Arabidopsis thaliana: one gene and its partner. The protein of the gene in region 1 interacts with the protein of each later gene in a pairwise test. Each region holds a gene or a part of one and is shown on either strand. Other genes may lie near its edges.

What was found. Proteins that work in one complex are often made in the same cells at the same time.
Region 2: the proteins of AT3G45840 (region 1) and AT2G14255 interact in a protein complementation assay, tested with the Arabidopsis thaliana proteins (one large-scale study listed by BioGRID).

What each region holds. Positions count from the first base shown.
Region 1 is NC_003074.8:16,847,378-16,851,954, reverse strand, and holds AT3G45840 (Cysteine/Histidine-rich C1 domain family protein), read left to right. Parts: upstream 1-2,010; 5' UTR 2,011-2,067; coding exon 2,068-2,766; intron 2,767-2,857; coding exon 2,858-2,928; intron 2,929-3,019; coding exon 3,020-4,025; 3' UTR 4,026-4,051; downstream 4,052-4,577.
Region 2 is NC_003071.7:6,034,800-6,041,604, forward strand, and holds AT2G14255 (Ankyrin repeat family protein with DHHC zinc finger domain-containing protein), read left to right. Parts: upstream 1-2,004; 5' UTR 2,005-2,174; coding exon 2,175-2,411; intron 2,412-2,482; coding exon 2,483-2,623; intron 2,624-2,784; coding exon 2,785-2,897; intron 2,898-3,033; coding exon 3,034-3,113; intron 3,114-3,403; coding exon 3,404-3,567; intron 3,568-4,284; coding exon 4,285-4,423; intron 4,424-4,518; coding exon 4,519-4,618; intron 4,619-4,831; coding exon 4,832-4,889; intron 4,890-5,144; coding exon 5,145-5,219; intron 5,220-5,298; coding exon 5,299-5,397; intron 5,398-5,522; coding exon 5,523-5,601; intron 5,602-5,678; coding exon 5,679-5,827; intron 5,828-5,916; coding exon 5,917-6,093; 3' UTR 6,094-6,298; downstream 6,299-6,805. Other genes in the region: PIP (proline iminopeptidase), read right to left, coding at 6,642-6,734. UniProt on the Arabidopsis thaliana protein: Palmitoyl acyltransferase.

The DNA of each region.
Region 1 (4,577 bases):
GTAAGACCAATGATGATAAACATAATATTATTTTTTAGTTATTTGTTTAACAAAAATTTGTGCCTAGAAAATTTAAATAAATTACCAACAAAGTGTGTACTTAAAATTAATAATCCCTTTATTATTAAAAGGGAAGTACAAATTGAAATTTTGTCTAATTTGGCCTCAATTTTGATTTCAATTTTGGATTTTGTTCTTTGCTATTCAAAATCATTAAGGGTAATTTGGTCTTAACAATCTCCTAAACTTTATATGATCCGATTCAATTTAAACCGTTCAATAAAATTAATTCCCTTCAATCTAAACCGTTCAACAAAAATAAGAAATCTATATCGTTTTTGAAATCAAAATATGATCACAATCCATCCCTAAAAACACTATATTCAATCATGAAGTCAATAATCAATAATATCCAAATCATATATTACAATTCTTCACTAATCATTAGAAATTTATATTTATAAGTTTAAGATATCAAATTTATTCATATATTTAGTATAAGAACCAAATAAACCGATTGCCCGCGGTAAACCGCGGGTTAAAACCTAGTTTATTAGTATTAAAATTGTCACTATGGTTTAGGATCTTGTGGCTTCCTTTTAACTTTTAAGGTGACCGGAGAGTAGGAGAAAGTGTGTGAGGACGAGAGAAAGAGATTGCTTGAGCTTTGGGAGGATATAGGAGAAGGAGTAGTAAGATGATGACTCAGTGAGTTTGTAAAATGTGACTCGCTATATGGGATGGAGTTTTAACCATAGTAAATCAAAGAAAGTGAGTCGAAGAATGAGTGCCTTGATTGAGTTCGTTGCAGGGCTGGCTCGAGAGATCTTGAACACGTTTTACGCTATTTGGATTCTCGCACTCTTTGGAGACAGATTTTGATCGGAATAGTCATTGTTATTCTCCTATGAGATTAGTGTTTGGTGTGTCAAATTTAAATATGAGTATCATTATCATATGAAATATGTTTTTTTGGTAAAGCTAAAACGAATCACATTAATATTTAAGGTCTCACAATTATGTTAGCACATTAATTATTAAATATTGTTATTAAAATAGTTGGTAGGAAATCGATCAAATTTTTTTTTTCACTTATACCACAGTTTCCTACGAAATTCTTTACCAATTTGTTTTGTAGGAAAAGTCTCACGAAAGTTTTAACCATTTTTGCTTTTCTTCAAACAAATTTCGTAAGAAAATTGTAAGCACAGCTCTTTCCTTACTGTTTCCTACGATTGGCCATTAGTAAATGCAATGTTTTAGGACATATCAGCAACAACCTCGAAAAGTTTTGTTCCTTGTACTCAGTGATGATATAAGTTGTTTTGTGGTAGTAGTGAAGCTATTAGCTTAAGTATGCTTTTAAACACAAATACATTACATGATTAATTACATGTCAAATCTTAAAAAAAATTTAATGAACTTGCACTGTTACATCTCAAAACCTCCGACACATTCACATTAATTATTGTACTCAAATGAAGTGTGAATATTCAATGGCCTCGTCTCGTCTCCGGCTACTATCAATGGGTTGAGACTTGACTTTAAAATTCTCAAACGCTTTAATTAATGATATTATTATAAGACTGGCCTAATATTTTGACCAAACTTAATATATAATGACTCAAATAATTCCTAGTTGGTCTTAAACAATCAATACTTTGTTGTCCGAAAATCGTTAAACCAATAATTCAACTACCATTTTAATAGGTGAAGTAGTTCTCTTTTTGTTGCTAATTGAATGGAATGGTATCTATTTGATTACTATATATATATAAACCACATAATGCCACTTTGTGACTAATAAGCAATAATAATTTAGGCATTAAAAATAACAACTAGCAATAATCATCACGCGATAAGATTTAACTATTGATATCTTAAAGAAATTTTAGTTGTATGGTGTGCTGAGTAGATGATGAAGCCACTTCAACAACTGGTTGTAAAATATATTTTCAAGAACTTCATATACGCACTTCGATAGAGATCACAACAATTCATAAACCAAAAAAAAAGACAAGAAAAACAACACAAAAACAAGACATCAAAAGCTTCGCCTAAGGAGCCATGGCTATATTATCGATAAAACTACCTATTCACATACATCCTTTGTCCCTTTCCTTTCGATTTCATGATCGGTGTGAAGGCTGCAGTTTTCGAAACCAAGGTGAATACTATGGAGGCTATCGATGTAATGATTCTGACTGCAATCGTGTTCTGTTTCACAAGGAATGCGCCGAGTCACCACTTGAAATCAACCACCCTTCTCACCCGGAACATCCTCTCCGGCTTACAGAGAGGCCTCCAAGATATGAATGTGATATATGCGGCATTCATCACTTAGCTGATGTGCCGTATTTTTATCATTGTTCCATATGTGACTTCAACGTCGACACATCATGTGCGCGGAAACCACCACCGCCACCTACTCATGATTTTCAAGACCTACCATTTGTCTTTCCAAAGATAAGTGGAATATACAATTGTTGTGGAGTATGTGGGCACTCAGTTGTTGCTGGTAAATATTATTATTCACTACCTTCTCGGGATCAGTATGCTCATTTGGAGTGTATATATCATGAGAAAAAAGTAAACCTTCCTTTTCACCCTAATCACCCTCTTGAGCTCACCATATCTAAATCCCTCCCTGATGATGCCGAAAAAGCATGTGTTTTGTGTGGAGTGAGATCGGAAATTGTGATGTATTACTGCTTAATATGTGACTTCAGCATGTGCCTAAACTGTGTGAGAAGCCCTCCACCTCTTGTTATTGAGCATTCCAATACCCATGAGCATCATCTTACCCTCTTATCGAGACGAATCTCATTTACTTGTAATGTTTGTGGGATGCATGAAGACGGCCAAGTCTCTTATTTATGTCTTCAATGTGATGTTATGGTCCATCGAAGTTGTATTGGCTTACCGCATGTCATAATCATTAATCGGCATGTTCATCGCATAACTCTCACTAACCATATTGGCCCAGGGTATTCGGATTGCGGAGTTTGTCGTCGACCAGTGAATCAGTTTCATGGGGCTTCATTTGCCCCAAATATGTTGTTCATTCGCAATGTGCAACAAGTTACAACGTTTGGGATGGGATAGAACTTGAAGGGATACCAGAAGAAGCTGAAGATCTTCCGTTTAAGGTGGTTGGTGATAACCTGATAAATCATTTCAGCCACGAGAAACATAATCTAAGGCTTACCAATGAAGACATTATTTATGATGAAAGTAGCCGATGTGAAGCATGCATCTTTCCTCGCAACTCTGGTTCGATATATTGTTGCGATCAATGTACTTTTTTCCTTCATGAAAAATGTGCACATCTGCCTATGAAGAGACGCCACTTAATATACAACAGACCATTTACCCTACATGCTAGAGGAAAAGATCTCCAAATAGATTGGTTCTCATGTGACGCTTGTGGAAAACAATCGACTGGTTTCAGGTACATCTCTGATGATTTAATGCTTGATGTACATTGCAGTTCCGTTTCCGAACCGTTCGTCCATGATGGCCATGTACATCCCTTATATTACAAAGAAGAAGCCAGTACCAAGTGTGATTCATGTCATAAGCTGTCTTATAACATGCTTGGTTGTGATGTTTGTGACTTTAGTTTGGATTTTTGTTGTGCAAATTTGCCAAAGACACTTAAGCACAAATACGATAGACATCCTCTCTCCCTATGTTATGGTGAAAAGGCAAGTGGTAAATATTGTTGTGATATTTGCGAGACGGAAATGGATCCAAGTAAGTGGTTCTACACATGCGATGATTGTGTGGTCACATTCCATATTGACTGTGTTTTTGGGGATTTCTCACGCTTCATCGCAGGATCCATATTCGAGACTATAATATACACATTTGAAGTGGTTCCTACCAAAGATACTACACGACAGCTATGCTCCCAGTGTCACTCTCGATGCAAAACACCTTTCATTCTAAAGGCTCTTAGCCAAACTGAAGATTATTGTATTTGTTCTTTCAAGTGTCTTAGTTCATATTTTTCTAAGTTATGAATCTCGTGAGAGAACTCTTTTTCACAAAAGATAGTAGGGTAATATTAATGAATAACCTTTGACTATAAAATAATTAAGAAAATAACGTTGGACTTCTTTTCTATTAGAAACTAACCATGGACCCACTTTTTAGAAGAGGGACATTGACCAAATAACCCTTTTTACGTTTTATCAGAATTAGAGAACAATAGGCAGCAGAGAAGTTGTACGGCGGTTGAGGAGGCATTATTGCAAAAATGAATGTGATTATGGTGAATAGCATGATATATTGCCAAATATGAACATTGTTGTGAAAAATTTCACTCAATTTTATCGAATAACATGGTATATTGAGAAATCTGGACATTATTATAAAAATTCACGCAATTTTGTTGAATCTCATGAAATTATATAAAACATAATTACAAGATTTCATGTGATTTTGTTGAATAGCATGAAATATATAGAACATAATTGCAAGAATTTATGCGATTTTATTGTATACCATGAAATATTGATAAATATCTCTTTATTAGTTATTAAAGCATGGTGGCGATGGTGTCGAGAATGGTG
Region 2 (6,805 bases), on another chromosome or scaffold:
TGACTATATATAATTAAAGGTACATTATGTGAAATCAAAAGACAAATATCCGGATCATGATTTTTTATTTTTTTAATGTAATGTTAAATTAGATTCAAAAGAAAATTAACGTTTTTACAGCAAGTGCAACGTAAGTTATATCAGAGGTAAAATGAAAGCTGAGATTAACATTGTAATGAAAACTTAGAGGATTAAAAGCCGACTTTGGAGCCAGCATTGGGAGCCAGCATTGGAAGCTAGCATCATAGCGCCGGTCCTTTTGTCTTAGGATTGTAGTGATCCTGTTTCTTATTATCATGATTCATGTATCTGCATAATGATTAAATGTAGCTTTAGGAATGGTTAAGACTCCTTTCATTAGCTACTTTATTAAGGCAACCAAGCAACAAAAACACCAATAGATGAGGAAAATAGAGAGCATGTGAAGGCAACATCCAAACCCAATATATAGAGTTGAAAAACAGATTCACTATTAAGTAATCAAAGACTAGAATGGAAAACAAACATCAAAATCTAAAAGAATATAATAGATAATAATTAGTGAGCTCATGTTGATTATAGGGAAATAAGCGTTTGTAGCCATCTTGGGCGTGTCCATCAAGGTATATGAGATATGAGTTTTGATACTTGGAAGAAAAAAAGAGAGAGTATAATAATAATTGATGAGATAAAATAGTTTTTTAAATTTTGTAACTCTTAAATAATGATTTTTTAATAGAATAATTGATAAACGGGAACTTATTCACAGAAGCATATGTTAAAAGACGACTGATAATAACTACCATAGATGTTATTTCTGTTAGATATTCATCAAATAGCAAATTATCCTTATTTTAAATTGTAATTATTTAAATTTATGATCTAATAAATTTAAACCGAATTTAATAAATATCATAGTTTACACATGAATGAAGGCATTTGTATACTTACTTATGTGTTTTATATGTTGTTGATTTACGTATTATTATTTTTTTTGTATATTTACTAATCTACAAAAAAATGAACACAAAAATTTACAGCAGCGACAACGTCAGCGTCAGCCAAGCCTGCCCTTGGCACAAACCCAAGATACATGGGTATTGGACCTCCAAAATGTTTAAGTTTTTAAATAACAAAATTATGTTTCCAAAAAAAATTGTTATTGCAAAATCAGATCTTATGTTTCTAAATTTTTAATATTTAGTCTCAATTTGTAAGTTTATCTATTTGTTATTGCAAAAATAAGCTTTATTTTACCAAAATTTTAAAATTTGATCTCGAATTTACTTTTTATCGACAAAATTCATCAAAAAAAAATTTTGAATGAACTTTTCTGAAACATCTTCACTCTACTATGTTTCTGGTCACCGAATCCAATGCCCTCTTACCTGAATATAGCTTCACACTCTCATTTCATCTCATTCCAAACTCGTTTGGTAACCCGTTTTGCCAAAATCGCAACACAGACCAAGAATAATACATTGTGCGAAAAACCAACTTTGAGAGCAAATTCCTATCAAACCACAATGAATCAGAGGAATATATTTATATCCTTAGAAAGATCTCATTTCCAAGATTCCAGAAAATCTTTCAATGCTCAAATCAGACTTCTATAGCCAAGTCAAACGAAGGTGACAAAGTCAGACAAACACCACTTCACCAAACAGCAGCTTCTTTAAGTCTGCTCAAAAATTATGTTTGTCGATAAACTTCATAGGCCAATAACATTTAGCCACGTATGGGTCCCTTAAATATCAAAAAATCCCTTTCATAAAGAGCGTCCTTATCTATTTTGGTATTTTTCATTTAATTTTGGGCCTCTGGAAGAGTCTGCCACACAAAAAAAACCCATAAAGACTTGCCGTTACAACTGCTCTAACCGGCACTCGCCGTCAACGTATTAAAAACATACACAAAGACTACGTCAACGACTACGGTAACAAAACAAACAATAATCTACGGTAGTGTTTGTTGCTGCCGCTGCCGCTGCGACGAAACGAACAAACTAGTTTCCAATTAAGTGAGGAATGGAATGACAAATGAATAATCAGCGTTAGTCAAAGTATGAAAGAGTAGACTTTAACAAGATCCAAGATCCGAGATCCGAGATAATACCCACTCTGGATCCGACCCATTTCATTCACCTCTTTCTTAAGTCCTCAAACTTCAATTTCAATTCAGATCGTTGAGCAACAATGGACTCATCAGAGATCGAAGTAGTGCCTCTAGATTCCAACTCTCACCAAAGCCCTACCGAATCACCAACCATCACCGACGTCTTCTCCGCCTCCGCTTACGGCGATCTCCACCAACTTAAACATTTCGTCGAACATAATGGCTCTTCCGTCTCACTTCCCGACGATAATGGCTTCTACGCTCTTCAATGGGCGGCACTCAACAATTCCCTCCACGTTGCTCAATATATCATCCAGGTACCAATTTCTCGATAATACTGTGATAGTTCTCCGGTGTAGTGATTGATTTGGATTTGAACTATCTGCAGCATGGTGGTGATGTTAATTCAGCTGATAATATACAACAGACACCATTGCATTGGGCAGCTGTTAAAGGCTCCATTGATGTTGCTGACCTTTTACTTCAACATGGAGCTCGTATTGAAGCTGTTGATGTCAATGGCTTCAGGGTAATATCTTCTTTCTGTTGTAATTTTTGTGTTTTTGTTTGCTAAAGGTGTGTGAAATGGATCAGGAGTTATAAGTTTTGCATCAGGCTTGTTGCTGCTGTGATCATAGGCTTCAGATTCTTGTAAGATTTTGTCGATCTACGACATGTTTTGTTGTGCAGGCAGTTCATGTTGCTTCTCAATATGGACAAACAGCATTCGTGAATCATATTATTGTGGACTATGCAGCTGACTATAACGCACTAGATATTGAAGGGAGGAGTCCGCTACACTGGTATGGATACTAGAGATATTAATGGATGCTTAGAGTGTGTATTCTTTAGTTGTACATAGTATCTCTGTTACTTATCATTTGACAATTTGTGGAGAACTACTGTGAACTCTATATTTTTCATGTTTGTATGACTCAGGGCTGCTTACAATGGATTCACAGAAACAGTCCGGTTACTTCTCTTTCGGGACGCATGTCAAAATAGACAAGATAACACAGGCAAATCAGAAACTCTTAAAACTTTCTTTTAACTGTATTTACTTGTCTGCTCTATAATTAATAAAGAATGGCTTACATCGGAATTTTTTCTGTACCTTATGATGCGTAAAGATAAGTGCAAAAACGGATAAGAGATTATGAACTCTGATTTTTGAGTGTTTGTTTATGGAGGGATTGTTATAGCATTCCAGACTGTTAATGACTTGCGAAAAGTGTAGAATGCTGATACCCTGATATATATTTTGCACTATTTTCTTAGAAATTCTTACATTAATCACTTTGCTTGCCAGGCTGCACGCCTTTGCACTGGGCTGTGATTAAGGAAAACGTTGAGGCTTGTACGCTGCTAGTTCATGCTGGAACCAAGGAGGAACTGATATTGAAAGATAACACTGGATCCACGCCACTTAAGCTTGCTTCTGATAAAGGTCACAGGCAGCTCGCTCTTTTCCTTGTACGTAATGTTTAGTGTTGCTTGCTACCCTTCTAACATCCGTAAAGAGGAACATATCTTGATTATTCACAATTAGCTTCTTCAAATTTGATTTGTGGATCCGACATTTGCTTGCTGGCTCGCTCCTTAAAATCAAAGTCTCCTTCATATTTCATTTTCATCATCATTAAATGGACAGGAATAGGTTAATAAGGCTATTTAAAAAATGTTTCATGCAAAATACCCTTTCAAAGTTCTGTAAATTTGTATTTACAATTTACAAACAGACAAACATATGAAAAAACAATAGCATTGAATATATGAAAGTTTGATGTAAATATGGTTATAAGTTTACAGTTACTAGATAAGCCTTAAACGCAGAAAAGACGGCAGCTTTGTGATATTTGCTTTTTCTTATGCAGCTCTAACCCAGAATTTTTTCTCAGTATCCTTAGATGAACTGGCTCTGATTTTCAGATATAGTTAAGCATCATTCTGGTAGAGAACTTGTTTCTACGGTCTGTTTCAGTTTTAGGGTGTAGATGTAAGAGCGACAATATGATAGCGGTCTGTTTTAGGGTTACTGTAGGGTTTAGAGTTCACAGGATGAGGTATGCCTTGTTTAATGGTTGTAGAGTATGTTCAATGTTGTTTGCCCCGGTTTTTTTTAGTTTTTCTTAAAATTTTAATCATTTGATATGATGTGCTTTCTGAGAATCCGATTTTAATATTTTTCAGTCGAAGGCAATGCGAACTCGTAAGAATAGTTTTGTGGACAAGATCTTCTGTGGAAAACTGGGAGAGACTAGCTATGCTCCTATGTTGTTCAGCTTAATAGTCATTCTTATGGTCCTCTTCATCACATCCATTGTTTCAGGTGAATAACGCATACAACAAAATAGTGTGTGTGTGTTGAGGTTCTTACTAATGGATTTATATTATTTCGTCCTGACATTTTGCATTCATGTGTAGCTTCTAATCTCCCAAAGATAACTGCTATGGTTGGTCTGTGGGCATGTTTCGGTCTTTCATGTGGTGTTTACGCACTGATAACTTTCTATCGTGTTAGCAGGTATCCTTATTAGTCATCTTCAATTTATCTGAAGTTTTTGTGCATATTAGTTTGATGTACTTACTTAATGAGTCAGCGAGAACTAATCTTACTTCTTCATAAGAAATGAGGAGGTTGAGATGTGAGGCTGTAACTACTTTGTAGTGACTCTGAGAGAGGTGTATGTGGTGTAATGGTCTTGGAGTGATTAATTCGTCTCTTTTTTTTTTATAGGAAAGATCCCGGGTACGTTAAAAGAACCGGTGAAGCTAACAGCCAACACACTGCCAACGTAAGTTGAACTTTCTTCCCATGTTTCCATGATGAGAGAAATGTGAACATTCGTCTAGCAGATTGGCAATCCGTCTAAATTGGGTTCATGCATATATATACGAAATCAATGCGCAGTTGTTAATTGTTTAAGCTTTTCGTCTTGATCATGCTGAACTATGCCTGATTTAAGTAGACACCGACTTTAGATCAATTGAACAGTCGTAAGGTTTGTTCTGAAAGGTTTGATTCACATATTATCTTCTGATGTTTGCAGGACCCTTTGATTGATATCAATTTCAAAAACCCCTCATGGAAAGGAAACTGGTCCCAACTCTGCCCCACTTGCAAGGTTTTCCTCAATCCTTATTTCAGGGGATTACCTCGATATTTTCTTTGTTTTCTAACTACAATTATCATTTTTTCTTCAGATAATTAGACCGGTGCGATCTAAGCACTGCCCCACTTGTAAGCGCTGCGTTGAACAGTTTGACCATCACTGCCCCTGGATTTCCAACTGTGTTGGTAAGGTAAGAATCTCTTTCACTTGTTGCTCTGCTAATTAAAGTGGCAAGGATATAGTAATGACATGAAACACCCTGTTATGCATATTGTTTTGGTTAACGGTATCTTGATACACTTACTCATTTCACAGAAGAATAAACGCTACTTCTTAGTCTTTGTGATCATGGGAGCTTTAACATCATTCGTTGGTGGCACAACTGCTGTTCAAAGTATGTGACTGGAACAACTCTCTCTCGCAATCCTGCCATTAGATTTGACTATTAGTAAGCATCTGTTTTTGCTACAGGATTATGGAGAGGTATCCCACAGGTACACCACGGAGAATCATGGATTAAACATATAGTCATTGAACACCCTGATGCTGCCGTGTTTCTGTTTTTCGACTTACTCATTTTCATTGCGACTATGACATTGACAATCTCACAGTCTTATATGGTAAGGAAGTCTCAGCTAAAGTAAAAATTTGGTTCTCCCTCCCCTCTGCAAATGATTGTATAACAGTTATTGTTGGTTGTCTGGTGCAGATAGCTCGGAATATTACAACCAACGAATTATGGAACGCGAAGAGATTCAGTTATTTGCGGGGACCTGACGGAAGATTCTACAACCCTTATAACCACGGCTTGCGAAGAAACTGCACCGATTTTTTGGTTCATGGCTACACCAGGGACGACGAGGTTGTCCCGTCTTCAATTCTCTGAATTTACATCTCCTCATCGCATTGTTACATGCATAAACCCTCTGATTTAGTATACTGTGTATATATATATCTCCTCTTCGATTCATATATTGCAAAGTAAGGTTCAAGTTTCTTCTCCTTTACTTGACACACCTCTTGCACTCTGTAAATCTTTTCCTTTATCACTTACCAGTTTCACCATTATGCTACTCAACACCCATAGTCTCCAATCCTCTTGATAAAAGGATTTTTATTTGACTCATATGTTTTTACCGCTGGTTTTTGTTGGGGATTTCTGCATTTAAACGGTTCAAAAAGGCCATGGTTCTAAGGTATTCGTTAGAGTCCCATTCATTGGTTACATTGGTGCTTATAGTCCGGGTTTCAAAACACTGCACCTATGTCATTGTCTTTTTCATTTGGGTATAAACGTCCATGGAAATAACATTCGGTTTCGCGTTAACAACTAACTCTGAATGTGATATTTACTTTGCAGCAACAAACTTGAAAATATGAACAAAGGTCCCAAAGAAATGAACAAAATGAGCAGCTTTCATTCCATCAAATACTTCATCCCATAAGTGCTTTCATCTTTTCATTGGCAACCACGAGTTCCGCTGATATTCCTGGCTCATTTGCCGAGTGCCCAGCATCATAAACAATCTGCAGACCGTTGGTCGCATTACGACAATAAGCAAAACTAAACTTAGGAAAGATCTTGAAGAAATCTTGGA